Regions from separate parts of the Mus musculus genome. Here all the other regions are reported to be linked to region 2. The links are microRNA targets in miRTarBase. Many come from high-throughput screens and were not tested one by one. Region 2 holds a microRNA gene; each other region holds the end of a gene's coding sequence.
Evidence for each region. The annotated mature microRNA mmu-miR-466q reads GUGCACACACACACAUACGU and lies in region 2 at 1,287-1,306, opposite strand. An mRNA with a match to its seed (bases 2 to 7 or 8) in the 3' UTR can be bound and repressed. Matches are read on the target gene's strand: a 7mer-m8 pairs with bases 2 to 8, a 7mer-A1 pairs with bases 2 to 7 and ends in A, and an 8mer does both.

Region 1 (5,060 bases), not on the chromosome of region 2:
GCTCTCGGAGCCTTCCTTGTTGAGTGGGTGATAAAGAGACTGGGAATGTAGCTCAGTGGTAGATCAGGCCTGAATTCTTGATTTCATTTACCAGCAAAACAGTGTGTGTGCACATGGATGTACACACACACACACACACACACACACACACACACACACACACACAGAGTGTTGCACTTGAAGCTTTTCTTGGCCCACTTCCCTCTTAGTGTAGGCCTACATGGTTCTAGTCATATCAACTGTATGAAAGGGAAGGAAGAAGGAAGAATGAGGTTCAAGTAGCTCTAGCCACAGCCTGGTGCAAGGAACAGGGTGAAGGATAGGGGTGAATTCCAGTCCTGACTGGAGCTGTATCACTTCTGTGCATGTCATTGTCCCCATCAATATATTAGGAGTCTCTGGCTGTCTTCTGCACTCACATTTGAAGATACCAGTTCATGGGTATAGAATGAGCTTAGAAACACCCTAGCTATCTTAGAAAGCTGTGTCACAGAGGATGAAGGGTGGGTGGGTGCACGAGATGCCCCAACAGTATCTTCTCCCTTCCTCAGGCCTTCCTGGAGCGATATTTGGCTGCTGGACCCACCATCCAGTACCACAAGGAACGTTGGCTGGCCAAACAGTGGACCTTGGTGAGCGAGGAGCCGGTGACCAATGGGCTTAAGGATGGCATCGTGTTCCTCTTGAAGCGCCAGGACTTCAGCTTGGTAGTGAGCACCAAGAAGGTGCCCTTCTTCAAACTCTCTGAGGAATTTGTGGATCCCAAGTCACATAAGTTCGTCATGCGGCTGCAGTCGGAGACCTCTGTGTGACTTTTGCAGCAGCCGCGGAGGAGGGATGTGGGGGGTTCCTGCGGAGTGGGAGGGGCTTGGTTCTCTGGCCCTGACACATTTCTGCCAGTCCTACTTCCTCTTGCTCTTGTTTGTTTTTGTTTTTTGTTTTTTGTTTTTTTTTTTACTTGAATTAACTTATCCTGTACCCAGTCTCCCCTCTTCCTCAGTTTTTCCCATCTGGAAATCTGGAGATAAATCTTGTTAACAATACCTGGGAACCACCCTGCCCTCCAATTTTGTATCACTCCAGGCCCTGCAGGAAACAGTGCCTCACAACTCTCCCATCCCCCCACCCCATTCTTCCCCCGCAAACCTTCCCTGGATGGAAGCATTCAGGGCCTTCCGGATTCTACCCTTGCCTCCTGAGCTCCAACTTAGAAATGTACATTCTTAGAGCCGCGCTCTCTAGTGGCCCCTGATAGAGTTTCTCTTGGGGGCACAGCTCTGACCCTAGAGGACCATGGTGCCAAACTCCTGTGGGACAACAGCTAATCCTATCCTCGGTCCCTACGCTTAGCCCTGAGTCCCTGGGCAAGGATGCACCTGTGACATAATCCCAGAATTAGGATTCTCTCTGCAGTCTTGCTCGCCAGTGTTACAGCTGTGCTTCCTGGTACACACACACACACACACACACACACACGGACACACACGGACACGGACACACACACACAGCACCTCACAGATACACACACTCACACACACACACACACACACACACACGGACACACACACGGACACGGACACGGACACGGACACACACACACACACACGGACACGGACACACACACGGACACACAGCACCTCACAGATACACACACACACATACACACACACACACACACACACACACAGAAACATAGAAGAAGGGGAAGTGCAGTCTTCTACTCAGGAGTCTTTACTGCTGTTTCTGACTTGTATGGTCATGTGATCATAGGCAAACAGAGGTGGAACCTCTCTGACCACTTTACCAGGGCTGTGGGGAAGGTGTAATGTGTCTTTCTTAGACAACTCCCGAGAGGAAGGGCAGGATAGACCCCTGAGGTTGGAGAGACCCTTGTCACTGACCTCACTTGTCCCTCTGAACCCACTGACCTGTTCTTCCCCACCCTTCCCCATGAAGGATACATGTTGACTTCTTAAGGACTCCATGACATGCAGACCCTGACCAACCTTGGGGTCGAAGACATTTTGTGTTTTGCGCCAGCTACCACAGTCCTGCTGAATTCGGGCTCCGAGACCTGTGGCCTCGTCTCTTATGGGGAGGGGCCAGGAACTCCTTCTCATCCCCTGCCTTAAATCCAGTTCTTTGCCTCAGGGGTCTCTTTACCATGGCCTTCCAGGGTCCCATCCTCTTTTCTCCCGCCTCGCTTTCTGGGCTCTTTATCAGGGTGAGGGACCAGGATTACTGCCTTTTGTGGGTATTAGCTCCTCGCCCCATTCTAACTAACACAGCCTTTGCAGCAAATCTGAACGAATCTCAGTAGTCACTTTGAGCAGGATTCCCTAACCCTCTAATGGATATTTTTCAGAGTAAACTTGAGCCTTTAAATTAGACACCTTTAAATTATTTTTTACCACAAGGACTAGAAATAGGGAACACCCACATCTTTCTTTCTGGGATCCATGCGGATGACTGTCCTGGTGGCTTCGATGGAGAAATGTCCCTGTGTCACTTCTTTAAATAACCCTCAAAGCCCCTGCACGGGCCCTTCACGTCCCTGGGTATTCTGCTGGTATTTGCTGTGCAAAGCACGCCCTAAGATGGGGTACCTTTGATCTCACCGTGCGGCTGCAGGATTCAAAGTGGAAGCCTACCTACCAGTTACTAAAGGGCTTGTCCATTAGGGCTTACTTTGTTCTCATGGGAATGGTCTTTGGAGCTGACTTACGCAGGGCCTCGAGGTTAGCTTAGGGCTGTGATAGAGGTGCCTGAATAAATTCCAGTGAAATTACGATGTCCTTGGGTAATGGGAAGGTATCTTTTCTTTAAAAAAAAAAAAAAAGAAAGAAAGAAAGAAGAAGAAGGAGAAGAAGAAGAAAGAAAATTCAGGTTTCAGAGGAGAACCTTTTGAGTCACGTAAATACCTCACTATCCTGGAAAGCAGGGCCCGGATGGTGATTGGGGTCATTGCCTTTGTGGGCAAGAGCGGGTTTTGCTGTTGCTTTGAGGAGTGGGTGGGTGGGGTGGGCCGAAGGAAAAGATTTGGGATCTTAGTTGATGCCCTAGGTTAGGGGCACAGGAGTGTTTATTTTAAGAACCTGCCATGTTTTTTAATCACTGTGATATTTCCATTCCTTTTATCCTAAAACAAAGAGAAGAAGTTTCCCTGACTCCCTGTCTAAGCACTAAGGGCTGTGACTTAAGAATGGTAGCGTTTTGGTCCTTCGTGTCAGAACTGTGGTATCTTCGTCTGCTTTGGTTGTTATTATTTTTTAAGATGTCAGGATGAATTGTCAAATGTATGGCTCTGTGTGTGCGAGGTGTGTGTGTGTGTGTGTGTGTGTGTGTGTGTGTGTGTGTGTGTGTCTTTTGCTTCTCCAGAATGGGAAGTTGTCTTCATGCTGTGAACTGCTATGGGTGGGCAGCTGACCCAGTCTCTCTGAGCAGTTTCCTCAACCAGCGCTGTCCCACCGGTGGCTCCGTGGTTTCTCATGCTTGCACTGCGGGCATGAGACTAGCCTGCTCAGCTCTCTCACCATAGGGGATGCTGGGCTGGGCTACTCCAGTGCACTCTGTGTGTGTGCTCCGGCTGGGTGGCATCCTGGCTCATCCCCACTACACAACTTGGCCTTTGTTTTCATGACCTCAGTGCGGGCTTACCGCTCTTCCCTCTACACCAGGACGCCGTGCCTCCACACCAGGACACCGTGCCTCCGTCCATCACCTACCTCGCCACTGTCACCCTCCCCATTGGTCCCTTTCCAGTTTCTCCTTAAATGTATGTCTTTGTTCTCTCTGTTGATCTCCCACTTCCTCTGATCCCTGCCATTACGCTCTGTGCTTTCGCTCCTAGCTGGCTGGCCACAGCATTCCCGTTGTGAATCCTGATTTAATAAAGACAAGGAGGCAGGATTCTCTTAGTCCCTGTTTGTCTGGGTCCCTGCTCTCCCTGTTGGTTGGGCCTAGCTCTGCCTTGTCCCTTCCTGGTGTCTGTCTGTCGGTCTTTTTTCTTTCCTCTCTTCTCCCCGTGGGGCAGCATCTGCTGATGGATTCTGTTCTGATTGTGTGATTGTTGTAATTTGTCCTTCTGTGCGCAAAAGGAAGGGCTTCTTGAATCTCTTCCAAGTGAGATTGTAAATGTAGAACTTTCCATTGTTGGATCTAGATTTTTTAAAATCCTTTTTCTTCTCTCTCTTTCTTTTCTTCTTTTTTATTTTCAAAATTTTTAAAACAAATTTTTGGGGCTATTTTTTTTTTGTTTGTTCCAGAGCTGAGACCTTGTGCATGCATGTAGAAAATTGTAAAATGTAAATTTTTTTTAATATATAAAAAGCTTGTTTTTACATTTGCAGTGGATTAAACATTATGGCAATTTTAGGGACTTTTTTTTCTTAAACATAGGAACTAAAACTGTACAAAAATTTTTTTTATATATAAAATAAAGACATTTGACTTTAGTGGGGGTTTTCTGTTGCTTTTCTTTTTTTCAAAGTGGGAGCTAAAGGTGGTCAGGGAGGAGTCCGGGCGGTAGGGGGCAGTGTGGGCCTTGTCATGCCACTGCCTCCAGCCAGTGTGGAGAATGAAGGGAAATGAGAAACTGCTTGCTGTTAACTGGATTCTGAGGTGAGAGAGCTGTGATGGTTAATCATCTGGGGGTGGGGCTCAGGGTGAGTGTCAGCCTGCATCTTCCTTTGTAAGCCTGTGTTTGCATGGCCTCCAGGTGAAAGTCAGACAGTGCTGACATGACGGCTCCTTATGTTTCATTTATAAAAATCCCCCGACATTACATCTGGTTTTATTTACTTTTTAAAAGATGGGGTCCTGGGGCTGGAAGGATGGCTCAGTGTTAAGAGGACTTGTGGCTCTCACAGAGGACCCCAGTTCAGTTCCCAGCACCTACATTGGCGGTGGCTCCTAACTACCTGTAACTCTGGCTCCAGGGGATCTGGTGTGGGGCCCGCTTCTGGCCTCTCGCACTTTCTCTCTCTTTATATATACATATATATGTATACGTACATATATAATATACATATCTAATGCATAATTACATACATTATATGAAA
Region 2 (5,074 bases):
ACAGAAGACACTAATCTGGTTCCTAGCACCAGTATGATAGCTCAGCCCATCTGTAAATCTAGATAGACTGAGACTGACTCCCACCCACAGTCACCTAGCACACAAATGATGCACAGACATGTATGCAGGTAAAACAGCCATACACATGAAATAAAAATAAATACATCACATTAAAGGGAAAAAAGGGAGAGGAGAGAGAGAGAGAGAGAGGAGGGATGGTTGTCTCAAAAGAATTAAGACCATACTTAAACCACCCTTTACCTGTTTCCTAAGCTTATTCTGTCTTTCATTCTTTTCTGTTAATTGTATCGGGTGAGGGGCTAATGAGAGCTAGCTGTTACTAGCTGAGTGTGCTCTGCTGTCGTTTGGATGGGGTTTTCCCCATTGCAGCTCTGAGCAGAGCACCTGGTAGGCTCCTCGTCATATTTGCCCTAGCCAAGCAAGCCAGGAGCTCAAGGAAACACCTCTTAAGTGTTTCCCAGTTTGGAGGTTGCACACACATCCCATGTTTGGCTGCTATTATAGGCCAGAAGTTCCTAACACAGTTTGACTAAAATACATCCACTCTTTTCATTTGATGTAGATCTAACCTAACTTGTGCAAAAAATACTTATGCAAAGATACACAGTGATGGCAAATGAAATGCTTCTGTTGTTGTAGTTCTTCTTGTGCTCCTGCAGTACCAAATCTCGGCCACGAGCCACTTGTGAAATTCTGCCTTCTTCATTTCTAACCCTGTGAATAATGTCATTCATCCTGGAATGGAGTGATGGGTTACGGAAGGACAGATCAGCGTGACCTCTCTAGTGACTACAAGCCACTACAATTGTCCTCAGAGATGCCCGAGGTCCTCTGAGTCTCTGGAGCCCTTTTTATATATTAATACAATGACATCAAATGCTATTTTCGCTCTTGCCCCACAGTTGTACAGTGGAGTTTCCCAGAGGCTGCATGCCACAAGATGATGTCATCACTGCGGCTAATGGACATTGTGTTATGCATTAGTAATATTGTGCTTTAAAAAGTCCTTATTGTATTTAATGAAATCACATTTATTGGCACTATAATAAATGCTGGTAGACAATCCATCCAAACATACGGTTCTTGCACTCTTCAGTAGTATTAAGAATATAAAGCACACCTATAAGGCAGCTCAGAGGGTAAGGGTGCTTGCTGCCAAGCCTGACAACCTGAGATCAGTCTCTGGGCACTACTGGGTAAAGGAGAAAATTGACTCCTACGAGTTGTCCTATTATCTCCAGAGATGAGATATGGCATGCATGGGTACGTATGTGTGTGTGTGCACATATACTACACACACATACACACACACACACACACACACACACACACACTAAAGAGAAGGTAATAAGAATATAAAGGAGATTTTTAAAACTGTTTCAGGAGTAGAGGGGTCTTCCTAAGGTAGACTTTAGATAAATATGGTAGTGACTGCCTGTAATCTCAACACCCAGGATGTTAAGACAGGAGGACTGAGTTCAAGACCAGGCTAGACTAGAGACCCCTGTTTCAAGCATGGGAAGGAGTTAAAAATAAAGAATTTCACTAAATTCCTTCAGTTTTCTGCATGAAAATTTCTCAGCTCTTTTTTTTTTGCTCCACCCCACTGTTAAGCACTCTCTTGTGATATATACATTTAATACTTCAATAAAGTTTTATTTGCACCTATTGCAAACCCCACCTTACCCCCCAGATAGTAGTAAAGTCTACTAGTAGTATACCCATGTGGACTCAGCTGAGTAGAATCCAGATGCCACATTCTTCAGAAGGGTTTTCACAGCCCAGAGCAAAAAGTATCCAATTGTCTATTTTCTTCAAGGAATATACCGAGGCTTTCTGAAGCATTTATACTACCTAGTCACTTCGGATCCTACTCTGTTTCTCCAAATATGAATTTCATGTCAGCTTAAACCTAACATGGCTCTCAAACGCCAGTTTTCACCCACTACTTCCACTCATTAACATACTTGTGGTGAGCACCTAATAAAAAGAGAAATGGCAAACTCTAGTCACAAATATAAAACACAAAGCAAACTCGAGAAAAGTTTTTGTATATTTTTACAACTCGGGGAATTTTTCCTCACCCAAATCTAATTACCGGGAGCCTAGGAAGGAAAGTTCACATCATAATGTATGATGAGAAGCGTTTCCTCTAATTATACAAACATGATACAAATAGTTCTGTGCAAAGTGCTTCACTGGATAAATATTAGCATGCCATTATCATCGTTCACTGACTAATCTGGGCACTGGCACTTCTCTGCAGACTTCGTAAAAAACAAGGGAAGAGGAAACGAGGTCATGAGTGAGTCCTGCTGCACACAGGAGCACCCTATGTATCTCCATCTCAACTCTCTAATCAGATGAGAAGCATGCATGCTGCCCATGGCTTCTCGATGAAGATACTGATGCTCAGAAGAGGTCGGTACTTTGTTCAAGACTGAAAGAGAAAACTGAAGCTGGAGCCCATCCCATGCCTGTCTCTGTCTACTCTGGTGCCCGCTTTCCAGCAATCTTTTTTCTTAAGAACCCTCACCCGAGGAAGCATGTTCCAATACCAGTTGACCCAGAAATCAGAGTTGTGAAGGCTTCTTCTGGCGCTGTTTTGCAGCACTTGTGTGTTTTCAACAGGCATTCTTAGTGGACCAACAGAACAAACGATACTGCAGTTAGCAGTTGGCAGAGCACTGTGACAAATGATACACTCTTAAAAGAAATTAGAGAGCAGAATCTACAGTTAACATTGCTTTGTCTCGAGACCAGCTCCCCTGTACACCATTCTGATATGCAAAAGCCAAGCTGTGTATAATGTCCCTTGTATGTATATTTCCAGGGCTGTCCATTTGGTATTGGATAAGCAATTTCTCCTGTTCTCCGCATTTTGTAGGTCTTTGTGTAGGATGGAGGGCTTTCCACTGCCTACTTCAGCATGTCTAGTGTTGCCCTTGTTCAGCTCATGTTTAGATGTTATGGATATAGTTTCTAACTGAATAGGTTGTATTTATGTTTTTAGAGATATACCTACCTACCTACATACATACATACATTCCTAATATGTGTGTATGTGTGTAACAATAAATAATGATAAAAGAGGCGATGAGTTTGAAAGAGCACAAGGCATTGTGGGAGGGTTTGGAGGGAGGAAGGGGATAATGATGTAATTATATTATAATCTCAAAAAGAGGGTAATTTTTTTGAAATGCTTATATATATATATATATATATATATATATATATATATATATATATCCATGGGACATTCATGGGTCCAAGTCAAACTTCTGCACTCTGGGCTGTTGAGGAAGGGCAGGGTCTGCGACACCGACATGCATTTCTATGCCTAAACATAACTCCAGGTCAAATAATGGTAGGCATATCATTGTATATCTGTTATGACCAAACTGGAATTTTTGAAAAGTCTAGAAGGTGATGCATCAAAATGATGAGCCTCAAAAAATTAACTCTGGGCAGTATAATTTCCAACTACAAGATCTTTTTGTAATTGTCCTACTTGTTCCAAAATTATTAATATATAACATGGATAATTCATAAAAATGGAAATGACTGGACTCTATGTAACATATGGTTTTAATAATTTCACTGTCAGCCTGATAAGATAGCTCAGTAGATAAAGCATTTATGCATAAGGATCGGTGTGCAGACCTTCAAATCTACACAACAGCTTGGTAGGCATCGTGGCCACTTGTAATCCCAGCTCTAGAGAGGCCCAGACAGGGATTCCCAGGGCAAGCTGTCTAACTGGATTAGTGGATGGGCAAGTGTTAGATTTCATTGAGAAATGCCTCAGCAAACAGAGAACTGTCCAGGAAGATACTTCAGGTCTCCTACGCACAAAGACAAAGGTTTGTGTGTGCCAGTACACATCTACACATAGATACACACACAGAGGAAAGACAGAGGTTGTCTCAGGAGCATGGTAAACTTGATGACCCGAACAGCTGCTTGACAGATCCCTGACAACTGCAGTGACAGTAACAGTCACCTGCTCAAGCCACTCTGCACATGCTCATTGTGAACTGCCCTCTCCTTGGTAAGTATTCACAGCAGACTACTGAACAGAGTGCTTCTCACATTTTGTGTCAGCTGTCTTCTTTTAACAAGGGTCCCCCCCCCCCGATTCATTATGTATTTTAAATTTTCTAAAATATAACTACTAAATGTACTAATTTTCACATTTAAAAAAAAAGCCTAAGTCAGGTGATATGTTTTTGTAAAACCACTGCTAAGGAAGTAGAAACAGGTGGGTGAAGACATATGGTCAACTTATGACCACCACACATGTGCAAATAACTTATATGTGTGCCTGTGCCCCCCCACACACACACACATGCACAAACACATGAGTATAATTCACCACTCAATCCACCCATCCTCTATTGCTCCCTTGGAAGCTCCAAGCCGGTGCTTTTGTTCCATTTGTGTCTCCTGAGATTTGCTTAGTGAACCACCGAAGAGTTAAATGGGTACAGTTTGACATGTATAAAATGGGATGTAGACGCTGGAGAGATGCCTGGGTAACTCAAGCACTAGTTAGGCAAGTGTGAGGACCAGAACTAGGATTCCAGAACACACATAAATGCACATGGCAATCCAGCTGTCATTCCAGCCCAGGAAAGTGGAGATTCCCAGAGTAAGCTAGATAGAGTGCTCAAATCAGCGAGCTTCAGGTTTGATGCAGAGATCCTGCCTCAGTGGAACTGAGCTATGGAAGATGACCCCCAACACCAACCTCTATCATTCTCCTGCAATATACACATGCATATAGACACACATCAGTGTGCCACACACACGGACACACACACACAACACACACACACACTCTCTCTCTCTCTCTCTCTCTCTCTCTCTCACACACACACACACACACACACACACACACATACACACACACACACACACACCAGACAAAGGAAACACTGACACAAAAAGTTATTAGCTGATAAAAAGACCCAGAATCCCCAGCCTTGCTCAGCTCCAGAAGCCTCATGTATTCCTCTTCCCATCCCCCACTCAAGAAAAGACTCCTGCATGC
Region 3 (5,060 bases), not on the chromosome of region 2:
CTGGAGACAGAATGTAGGCCTTGTACGTGGTAAGGCATTTGTTCAACCAGTGAGATACATCCCCAGATCTCTTTATATTTTATCTGAGACAAGGTCTCGGTTGTCCTGTCTAGCCTTGAATTCGCTCTCTACCAGGCAGGTCTTGTATTTTTAATCCCCCTGCCTCTAGAGAAAGCAGTTGTGTCTTCAAGACCCTGGGAAAAGGTGGGCATGGTGCTACATCTTCTTATCCCAGCACTCAGAGGGGTGAGGCAGGAGGATTGCTACAAGTTAAAGGCCAGCCTGAGCTACATAACAAACATGAGGCCAACAAGAACCACACAGCAAGACTCTGTCTCAGAGAGAAATGCTTCTTACAGGGTTCCCAAAGGAGGAGGTGGTACTGACTAGGGAAAGATCAATTTTAGCAGTCTAATTACTCAGTATTCCTCAAAACAGAGTGGGAAAAGGCATTTGCAACATATATCAAGTATATACATATATAAAAGTATATACAAATTTAATGCAATTCAACATTAATTTCAATAAAGAGAAACTATTAAGATGTGATGTTTTACCAATTCAAACTTTATGCATATTTCCAAAGCAATTTATTTTCTTAGACTTCAATTTACAATACTTTTTATTTTTATAGGAATCCAGGTGGTGGAAGAATGCACTTGGCTATTGCTGTTGTAATCACCCTACTCCCACTCCTGTCGTGGGTCTACGTACACATGAACAAGGAGATGCGGTCCTCCTGGCCAACTCACTGCAAGACAGTCATTTAAATGAACCCAATAATGTTTACAACATGTTATACACATTGGGGTAATGGGACGATTTCCCAGAGATGATTTAAAGTCTTGGGAATGTAACAAGGCTACTCACAATGTGATGGAAGATTGACTAGGTCAGATAAGAATTGGGAGCTGAGTCTCCAGAGGTCTCTTCTGCAACAGCACTGGACCAGGCAATGAGCAGAAACTTGAGTTTGAATCCAGCTTTAGCACTATGTGATGGGGCAAACCCACGAATCTCCTGGTACATATTTCCTCACATATAAAGTAGGATGTCAGATCTCATTAGTTACCACAACCAAACTATTGTTGAAGGCACTCTGAGAAGATGAAGCTCACTTGAGTTCCAAAGGGAGTAAGAGTGAGAGGGGGCTGAGGCTATAACCAGCCTCATGCTGACATGGAGGGAGGTTCAAAAACTAATCTTAATGTACTTAACTGGCTCAGCTGTACTGAACCCAGAAAAATTCCAGGGCAGGTGAACCAAATGAAAGTAGAAATTAAAGAAAATATAGAAAAGATAAATTTGGAGTTAGCAAGAATAGGGAATATTAATCATAAGTTATTCTCCGTGAAAACTAAGATGGAAATCTATACATCTTTTTAATGAATGTTGAAGTGACCACAGGGGAGGAGAGCTCTGTAGGGTGACACAGTCCAACAGGGCATACACAGGTTGTTATCGAGCACTTGACCTGTGGGCAGAGCACTTGACCTGTGGGCAGGGTGACCAAAGAAGTCAATTTTTAACTTTTCTACTTTTAGAAGCAGGGAGTCAACTGCCAGGAAAAGTTAAGTGTGCATGGGATCGTGTGTGTGTGTGTGTGTGTGTGTGTGTGTGTGTGTGTGTGTGTGTGTGTGTGTGTGTGTGTGTGTGTGTGTGTATGGATCTTCTTCAACTGCAAATTTTGGTATGGACTGTTGGTGTTGGTCTGGCGCTATGTATTCAAATGCTAAATACTGGCCCCTGAGATCTGATTGCCTCATTTCATGTACAGCAAATATTATGTAAACTTTGCTTGCCAATCTTTTGTGACTGGTTAAATAAAAGTGGTTAACAGCCAATTACTGGGGAGAATTACTAGGAAGGCAGGGCTTGTCATAGGGCTGGGGGAGAGGGAAAGAGAGAGAGAGAGAAGGAGGAGGAGGAAGAAAGAGGAGGAGGAGGAGGAAGAAAGAGGAGGAGGAGGAAGAAAGAGGAGGAGGAGGAAGAAAGAGGAGGAGGAGGAAGAAAGAAGAGGAGGAGGAGGAGGGAGCAGTTCACTTTGATGGGATGGACCAGGAGCATAGGCCGTTGATTGGCAAGTAACCTGGGGAGTGCAGCTGAGAAATAGCCAGTCTAGCACTGAAAAAATAGTTTAGGGGTAATCGTCCAGTCATTGTGCTGGAAGCTGATTAAATAAATAGTTTGGACTCTGTCTCGATTATTAGGGGGCTGACAGGGTCACAGTAATTACTAGTTATTTAATACTACTAGTTATTAAATACCTTACAGCAACAGGCAACAGGTGAAGCATTTGCAAGAGTTTAGCGTTGGGGTGGATGTGCTCCAGTGTAAAACACAGTAGACGTTAGAGACACAAACACAGAACAATGTATTTTATACTAAGTGCATGCTGAAAAAATATTTTGAGATAAGTCGGGCTAGATAAAATATATTGAATTTATCTTTTTTTTAATTTTCTTTTTTTTTAAAAGATTTATTTATTTATTATATGTAAGTACACTGTAGTTGTCTTCAGACACTCCAGAAGAGGGAATCAGATCTTGTTACGGATGGTTGTGAGCCACCATGTGGTTGCTGGGATTTGAACTCAGGACCTTTGGAAGAGCAGTCGGTGCTCTTAACCACTGAGCCATCTCGCCAGCCCCTGAATTTATCTTTGAAGGTGTGATTGCTTGAGTATTATTTAAGTAGCTCACATTAAGTGTCAGATATCTGCAGGGGGAGCTTATCTAGGCTGGAATCAAACTCTAACCAGATGAGTGGTGGTTGACGTGGAATGCCCCCTCAGGCCCATGTCTGAATACGTGGTCCCCGCTTGGCAGTGATGCTTGGGTGGGTTAGAATGTGTGGCTTTGCTGGAGGAAGTAGTTGCTGGGGATGAGATTTGAGGTTTCAAAAGGTTCAGGCCATTCCCAGTGTTGTTCTCTGCCTCGAACTTTGGAACACGGTACGAATGCTCAGCTGTTCCTGCCACCATGGACTTTAACCCTCTAGAACAGCAGGTTCTGCACCTGTGGGTCACAACCCTTTCACAGAGGCCACCTAGAGCCATCTGCATATCAGATATTTACATTAAGATTTATAACTAGCAAAATTACAGTTATGAAGTAGCAACAGAAATAATTTTATAGTTGGGGGTCACTACAACGTGAGGAAGTCTATTAAAGAGTAGAGGCATTAGGAAAGTTGAGAACCACTGCTCCGGAACCATAAATCCCGAATTACATACTTTCTTTTCTAAGTTGCCTTGGCCATGATCTTTTGTTACAACAACAGAAAAGTCGCTAAGGCAAGATTCATTTCAGTTGTAAGAAATGCTTCTTTTGAATAGAATTCATGCTCACCACGCCGAGAGTGAAAATGAGTCAGATACTGTTTTGTATCATGTAAGACAACAGTACTCTGTAAATACTAAAGGGATCCTTAAGCCAGATTATCAAGGACAAGATAAAATTGATATTAAAACAACTACAGTGCACTTCGAGTCAATAAAATACACGCCGAGGATCTGAGTTTTCCAGCGTCCCTTTAGCCTGCGTGGTCTTTACAGCTTTTGTATTAACTTTAGAACAAAGTCATAATGAGTCCAGTCCATTTGCAAATTTGACACGGGACCTACTGATCTGCTGAATCATGCTTGATGTCTGTGTGTAAATGAGTCATGTTCAGAACACAGATCCGGTATTTTAATTCCCTGTATCAAGACTAGTATGGCTGTAAATATTCATAGTACCCTGTGCACCCTCACAGATGCACGGAAGACACTGACTTTCAGTGTGCGCTTGCCTTGGATCTTACCAATGGAATAAAATAATTTTTATCTTTTGAAGGTAGGGTCTACATAGATCAAGCTAGCCAACATGCCAGGCTAAGCTTTCTTCTCCTTCAGTGTTTCTGGTTTTGTTTCAGTACAGATGAGATGTCCATGCATACTGTCAGGCAGCCTGGAGTTGGGCTTACTGGCCAGCTCTGCTGCTCTTCCCATGAGAGTCTCGAGGTTGGTGGGAGGCAAGACTGAATGATCTCAGCATCTGTTAGGACCTCTCAGCTGTTTTCACAGAACGGAATGTCACCTATATCTAAGTATAGGTGTTCTGAAACAAACGACCAACGTCCACTCATACAGCAGGGTAAGCAGGCCAGACTTGACTTAGCTTTGGGCTTTCATGTGCTAAGCTGTAGAGTTAACACAAGAATAATTCTCCTTGTACAAAAAAAAAAGAAAGAAAGAAAGAAAGAGAGAGAGGGAGGGAGGGAGGGAGGGAGGAAGGAAGGAAGGGAGGGAAGGAAGGAGAAAGGGAGGGAAGGACGGAGGGATGGAGGGAGGGAAGGGAGGGAGGGAAGGGAGGGAGGGAGGGAAAGTAAAGAAATTCAAATTAGGCCAAACACAGCCCCTTCTCAGGAGTATATGCCCACATGAGTCTCCTTCCTGGTTTATTTTAATATTTTCAGTACTAGCTTTCAGTACCTGGATATATTATCCAGAAATAACACTTCTGAGTTTTATCTTCACTCACACATACTCAAGGTGCAAATACATTTTGTACACAAACAGAATACTTAAGAGTACAACTGAGAATTTAACTTTTTATGGAATGTAATAAAACATAAAACAGTATCGTTCACTTTCTACAAAGCAGACAAGATAATGAGGCGAAAATCACAAAGCTTCTTCCCTTTTATAATTCATAATTCTGTCTGGAACTCTGCCTCTCCCTTTCAGCAGCATTTTGTCAGGGAAGACATGAACTGTGCCAAAGGCCTGGCTGTCCGGAGCTGTTTCAATAACTCCTTCAAGGTTGACATGGTGCACGCCGAAAGGATCTTCAGAGTAGCCACCGTCATGTGTGTGACCAGCAAGGAAACACACCACACACTTGTGAGACCATATGATTGACAGAGCATCCACGTAGTTCCAAGCCAGGCACACGCTGTCAGAGGCCTCTGGGTAAATAGGAAGATGGCCTGTTAAGGAAAAATTAGGAGCAAATTAAATCTTTTTCCATCAAGAAAAAAGACCAAAAGCTAGAATTCAGGAAACCAAACCTAAACAC
Region 4 (5,060 bases), not on the chromosome of region 2:
AAGATCTCCCTAGTTCTTGGAGCCATTTAACCGGTATGTGTCCTAATTTTGAGGTAGAGTGCCATTGTGACATCAGATTGGAACCAGATTCATTACTCTAGGCCTGGACTAAAGGATATTGGGGGAGGACTGTGGATAGAGGCTGCTGTCCCCACACACATGGTGGGGGATCTCATTGCCATGCTGCCACCTCAGATGTAGTCTTAAGTCAGACTGTCTCTAGATGTTCCTACTCTACCTCTGTAAGCCACCAGACCACAAAGGATGGAGGTCATAGAGTTGGAGAAGGCTGCGAAGAGAGCTCAGGGTCCCCCACTAGTCCTTCTCATAGGCCCACCACTCATCTCACCTCACTTCAACCCTTTGAAGTCAACAGGAAATTCACGCCAGGCTGACAGGAAATTAAGTGACCCAGGGAACGGGGTCACACGCAGTGGTAGCAACTCTCCCCTGGTACACTTGTGTTTGTTTGTTTGTTTTTTTTTCCTGGAACTTCGGTTTCATTAAGTTCACGGTTGTATTCAGATTGCCTCTTTCACTTTGATTTCTAGTCTCCACATCACAGCCAGCCATGGCTGCCTGTCAGCACCAGCACTCATCCACTGGTGACCCAGATACCTGGAAAACGGGCCAAGGGACCAAGCCAGAGACCTTACAGACCGTCTCCAAAGAGCGGCCACACTCTTTAGTGGAGAGCAAGGCCTATGCAGACACCAGGGTTCTGGTGGCTAAGTTTTTGGAACACGCACACTGCAGCCTCCCTACAGAGGTGCGACATGTGGTGGGCACCATACGATCAATGGCCACCTCGGAGGAGCCCAGGGTGGAGGAGGCCATCTTTGGTGCTGGCGTCTTGGACCAGCTGTGAAGCTGCTATGGGCCTGGATGTGGACACTGATAAGCCTGCAAAGTCTGGCCCTGCAAGATGCCACCGTGCTTGGTAGAGAAAGGCCTTTGGCCTGCTGGGTCAAGAACATCCAGGATATCCAGGAAGCTCGCTGGTGGCTTGGGCAAGGAACTGTTACTCTTTCTCCCATCAGTTGTCTTCCTGGGGACTGTTTGTCGCCTGTCCCACTAACTCAGAGATGTTTCTCTCCTGCCCTTAGTGAGCTCTGGTCGCTTCAGGGGTATAGCACCTCTTGAACTGAAGAATGTGATGGGAATACCAATTCTGGGACAGGGGACACTTTTGGAACATAAAGACACTGCATCTGTCCCAAGTCAAGGCCTTTAACACTCGATGCTCCTCTGTGCCTGGTTTGGTTCAGTGTTAAGATTAGAGAGTAGCAGTGGCAATGGAGTCGTGTGGCTGGTATCACTCTGCAATGACACCTTTATCAGATTCCGACCCATTACTTCCTCTCAAAGGCAATAGGTCATGCTAGCACAGCCTGGGACCACCTTCTTGCCCACTGGGCTATCATGCAAATAAATCCACAATGAAAGCTTTCCTACATACTCTTGGGAAGCAAGCACGTGTCACAAGGGCTTGAAATGCCCACCTTCTCGTGTGTACTGGGCCTCCCCATTAGGCCTCTGTCTGTGGGCTGCTACCCACCTCCTCCCTAGGTCCCTCCCACACAGTCTCCCATCCTTGAACCACAGCAAATACTTGTTACTTGTGTTTTAACAATAAGCTCCCTTCTCTTCCCTTGGAGGACTTCCCCTTGTATCTGACCTCACCTAATTGTGCTGGGTAGGTCACAGTCTGGGCTAGGAAGCTACTGTCTGCTATATGTGCACCTCCGGCTTAGGCAAGCCTCTCTCATGACCCAGAGTTGTCCCTTCTCAACTCAGGTGGCAGCAGGCACACTTGTGTTGAAGGATGCAAATGGTCAATGCCTTATTTCGGGGAGAGTGCCAATGGTGGACATCCGGAAGCAAGGCAAACCCAGCTTAGGTATAACCAGGTGGCTTGGGGCAAAATGGCCACCTAAGACATTCTTGGCTGTTTCAGACCGCATTTTCTGGCAAGATCAACAGCAACCACTTCTCAGCAATGGGTCTGGAGCAGCACTGCTTGAAAGCACTTCCTGCAAAAGCCAGAAACGCCCACATCTGCTTCCCCCACAGCAGCAGGTATAATCAAGGGCAATCACTGCACCGCCATGGGCCTGTGAGCCTCAATATAGGCACAGAAGCCCTAAGTCTGTGGGTGGACCAGAGTGTTCCTTCCATTGTTCAGTGGCCAGCTGGTAGGCATAGGATACTCTTCTCTCCATCTTGCCTGCCCTTGCCTGTCCTTCATCCTCTACTACCCTGATTCAGCCCCCCCAAATTCCCTGTATCCACTAGGCTGAAGACCTCTGTGTGTTTGGAAGTTGTGGGACTTCAGCCCACACATGGCCTCGGAAAACCCCTAGCAGCCATCAGTTAGTTCTCCATGCCCTGATGGCTTTACCATTGCCATAAGCTGTTGCCTTTCTGAGGTTAGCAAGCTGGAAAATATAAATCGGGCATTTGACAGTAGTCTTGGCTTTTCCACAGGAGACATAATAGAGATGAATATTTGAGCACTTTATTCAGACTATAAAATTCTCTAATTTTCCCTCAAGTGAGGACTTTGAAAATCCCCCATGAGAAAATCCCTTTCAGTAGAGTGGCTTGCCCCAAGCTTCATAGCACGAAGTACTTTCACGCCTGGCTGCTGGGCTTTCTCACCACTTCAGAGATGAGGGGAAGGGAGGCAGCAAGAGGATGTCGCCTGATTGGAGGGACATGCAGCAGTGTGCTTAAACATTTGTGGATCTCAGAACAAGCCATGATCCAAGAGAAGCCAGGGCCGACCCCATTCCAACTGACCCAAGCTTGGAGGTATTTTCATAGTGTGGCCAGGGTGACCAGTTTCTGGATTCAGCACAGGGCACTGTGGCTTTCATGCTGCCTCTTTACAGATGGCCTTCAACTATCATGGGGCACTCCTGCCTCAAGTCACACCTCTTTTCGGGTGCAGACTAACACTACCACCGGGAAGCCCCGAGTCCCAGACATTCTCAAGGAAGTGGTACACACAAACTATCCTAGCTAGGTTATGAGATGGCTCCCCTAACAGGCTTATAAGATGGATAAAGAAACTACAGCACTTCATGCTATTGGGTGGGTGTTTGATGACAGATATGTCTTTGTTTACCTTCTCTGGGCCCCAGATGGACCAAGAGGGCATTAAAAATGCCCAACCTCCAGGCTTCCAGGAAGCCAGAGGTACTGGTAACAGCCACTAGACAACAGTCTTGCAATTTGACTTGTCTGTTCTGGGTTCCTTAACCCTGCCTCAGTGGTGAGCTAGTGCTAAGAACCCCAGGCAGTTATGTGGGTCCCTTGCGGAAGCAAAGCCGTCTTTCTTCACATTGCCTGCACAACCTTCCATCTTGGAAGGTCTGTCCCTGCTTGTGTTGATATCTGAACTGGGTCCAATAGTAACCATTTGGGAGGAGATGCTCTCATGCCTGGCTTGCCAGGCCCTGGGCCCCCAGAACCCCCCCCCCCCAAAATCAGTATCTTCTAGGACATCCCTTGACTCTGTTTGGGGGCAAGAAGATGCTGATGATGTGAATCCACGATGGGCAGCAACTCTACTGTGAGGAAGGCTGGAGGCTTCATGACAAGGACTTAAGTCTCCTTCCCAGGGAGACGCTGGTAGAATTTGAAACGCTTGCAGCCAGCCCTGGAGTGGAAAGCTCATTTTGGGTCTTCTCTCCCCCACCCCATGTGGCTGTGTCAGCCCACAGCTGCTGCTGAGGCAGAGTTTATAGGAAGTTGTTTCCAGACCACCAGAGACCTGTTCGTACAACTGGAAAGGTTGTATTTATTTAATGTACCTCAAGGTGTTTTAATAATGATCAGTGTTTTAATAAAAAGTATTTCTGGTCTCTGAGTTCTAACTGGGACTAAGAGGGTCCTGGAGGGGCTGGATCTGGGGGAGCAAGAAGCTGCCACAGCTACCCACGAGGAGTGGTAGCCCAGTGCCAGGAGCTGAGGTGAGAAGGCAGCTCCCGATGTTCACAGGTCCAAACCACAGCTGCCCCTCTGTGGACCCGGCACTCAAGGGGACCTGGAAGATGGTCCTGTATTCCAAAGTGTTTCACTTAAGGCTCTGAGTGATGTGCACCAGGGACTGGGTAACGTGCTTGCTTGATGGACAAGCATAAGGATCTGCGTTTGGATTAAGAGAGGGAGGGGCACACTGTAGCCCCAGTGCTGGGGTGTGCAGGGATAGGCCAACCACTTCCTGACTGGAGCAGCTGGAATAGCAAGCCCCTGGTTCTGTAAAAGACTGCCTCGACAAAATAAGATGGGGCGTGACAAAGGACCGTATATCCATGTGTGCACAAATGGTCACATGTGCCTGCACACAGGTGAAAACACATGCACACATTGTGCACACACGCTGAGTACCAGTCTGTAGACATCGTACCCTCGTATCATCTCTGACTGTGCCTCTTCTCTCTGGAGCAGGGCACGTGCTTGTCTAGAACACACAGGGGCAGTCCGTGGGCCTAGCAGCAGGCGCTAGCTCCTCTGCTGTCTTGCCTTCACCTCAGGGACTGTTCATCCCATTCTGTACGAATGCCAGCCATCTAGATACTGGTTTTTGAATCTTGGCATAGGGAAACAGTTTTCTTGGCTCTCAGTTCTTCTGTTTTTTGGGGAGTGAGGTGACAGACCTGGAGACCTTTGTGTTGCATTTCTGATGGCATTTCTCAGGCCACTGTTTGAGGCTAGAGTTCACAGTGAAAGGCTCTTTCTCGCCTGCTCCTGATGGGTAGAAAAGTGAAGGGGGCACATGGTTCAGGCCCCTCAGGCGGTTCCTGCAGAATCGTGAGCAAAGAAAACACCTGGTCATGGATATGCTTTGCTGCGGTGGGCCAAAGAGGAGACTCTCACTTGCCAAGGTCCCCTGTCTCATCCTCCAGAGACAACCCCAAGCTTACCCCATTCCCTCCTCATATCAGGCACAGCAGGCCTGTAGCAAGGTACAGAACTGCAAAGATGCCCTGCCAACACTCTACAGGTATGGATTCCAAAGGTCTGGAGAAAGGCTAGGTGTAGGCCAATATCCT

Region 1: miRTarBase lists Vangl2 as a target of mmu-miR-466q. Seed matches in the 3' UTR shown: 7mer-A1 at 2,578-2,584.
Region 3: miRTarBase lists Tmem220 as a target of mmu-miR-466q. Seed matches in the 3' UTR shown: 7mer-m8 at 1,576-1,582.
Region 4: the mRNA of Fam189a1 is a reported target of mmu-miR-466q. The part of its 3' UTR that is shown has no 7-base or 8-base seed match.

The regions. Positions count from the first base shown.
Region 1 is chr1:172,000,354-172,005,413 of GRCm38, reverse strand. It overlaps Vangl2 (VANGL planar cell polarity 2), which reads left to right. Exons shown (of 8, transcript NM_033509.4): 8 at 552-4,454. The coding sequence ends at 812. Among named protein-coding and RNA genes, the nearest start is that of Vangl2, 24 kb to the left of the region's middle.
Region 2 is chr3:28,416,220-28,421,293 of GRCm38, reverse strand. It overlaps Mir466q (microRNA 466q), which reads right to left and starts at 1,351; the gene lies at 1,276-1,351. All of the region lies in intron 2 of Tnik (TRAF2 and NCK interacting kinase), which reads right to left.
Region 3 is chr11:67,033,475-67,038,534 of GRCm38, forward strand. It overlaps Tmem220 (transmembrane protein 220), which reads left to right. Exons shown (of 6, transcript NM_001291042.1): 6 at 635-1,838. The coding sequence ends at 770. Adprm (ADP-ribose/CDP-alcohol diphosphatase, manganese dependent) reads right to left here. Exons shown (of 5, transcript NM_025510.3): 5 at 4,406-4,971. The coding sequence ends at 4,667. Among named protein-coding and RNA genes, the nearest start is that of Tmem220, 11 kb to the left of the region's middle.
Region 4 is chr7:64,754,905-64,759,964 of GRCm38, reverse strand. It overlaps Fam189a1 (family with sequence similarity 189, member A1), which reads left to right. Exons shown (of 10, transcript NM_183087.4): 10 at 552-3,869. The coding sequence ends at 868. Among named protein-coding and RNA genes, the nearest start is that of Nsmce3, 120 kb to the left of the region's middle.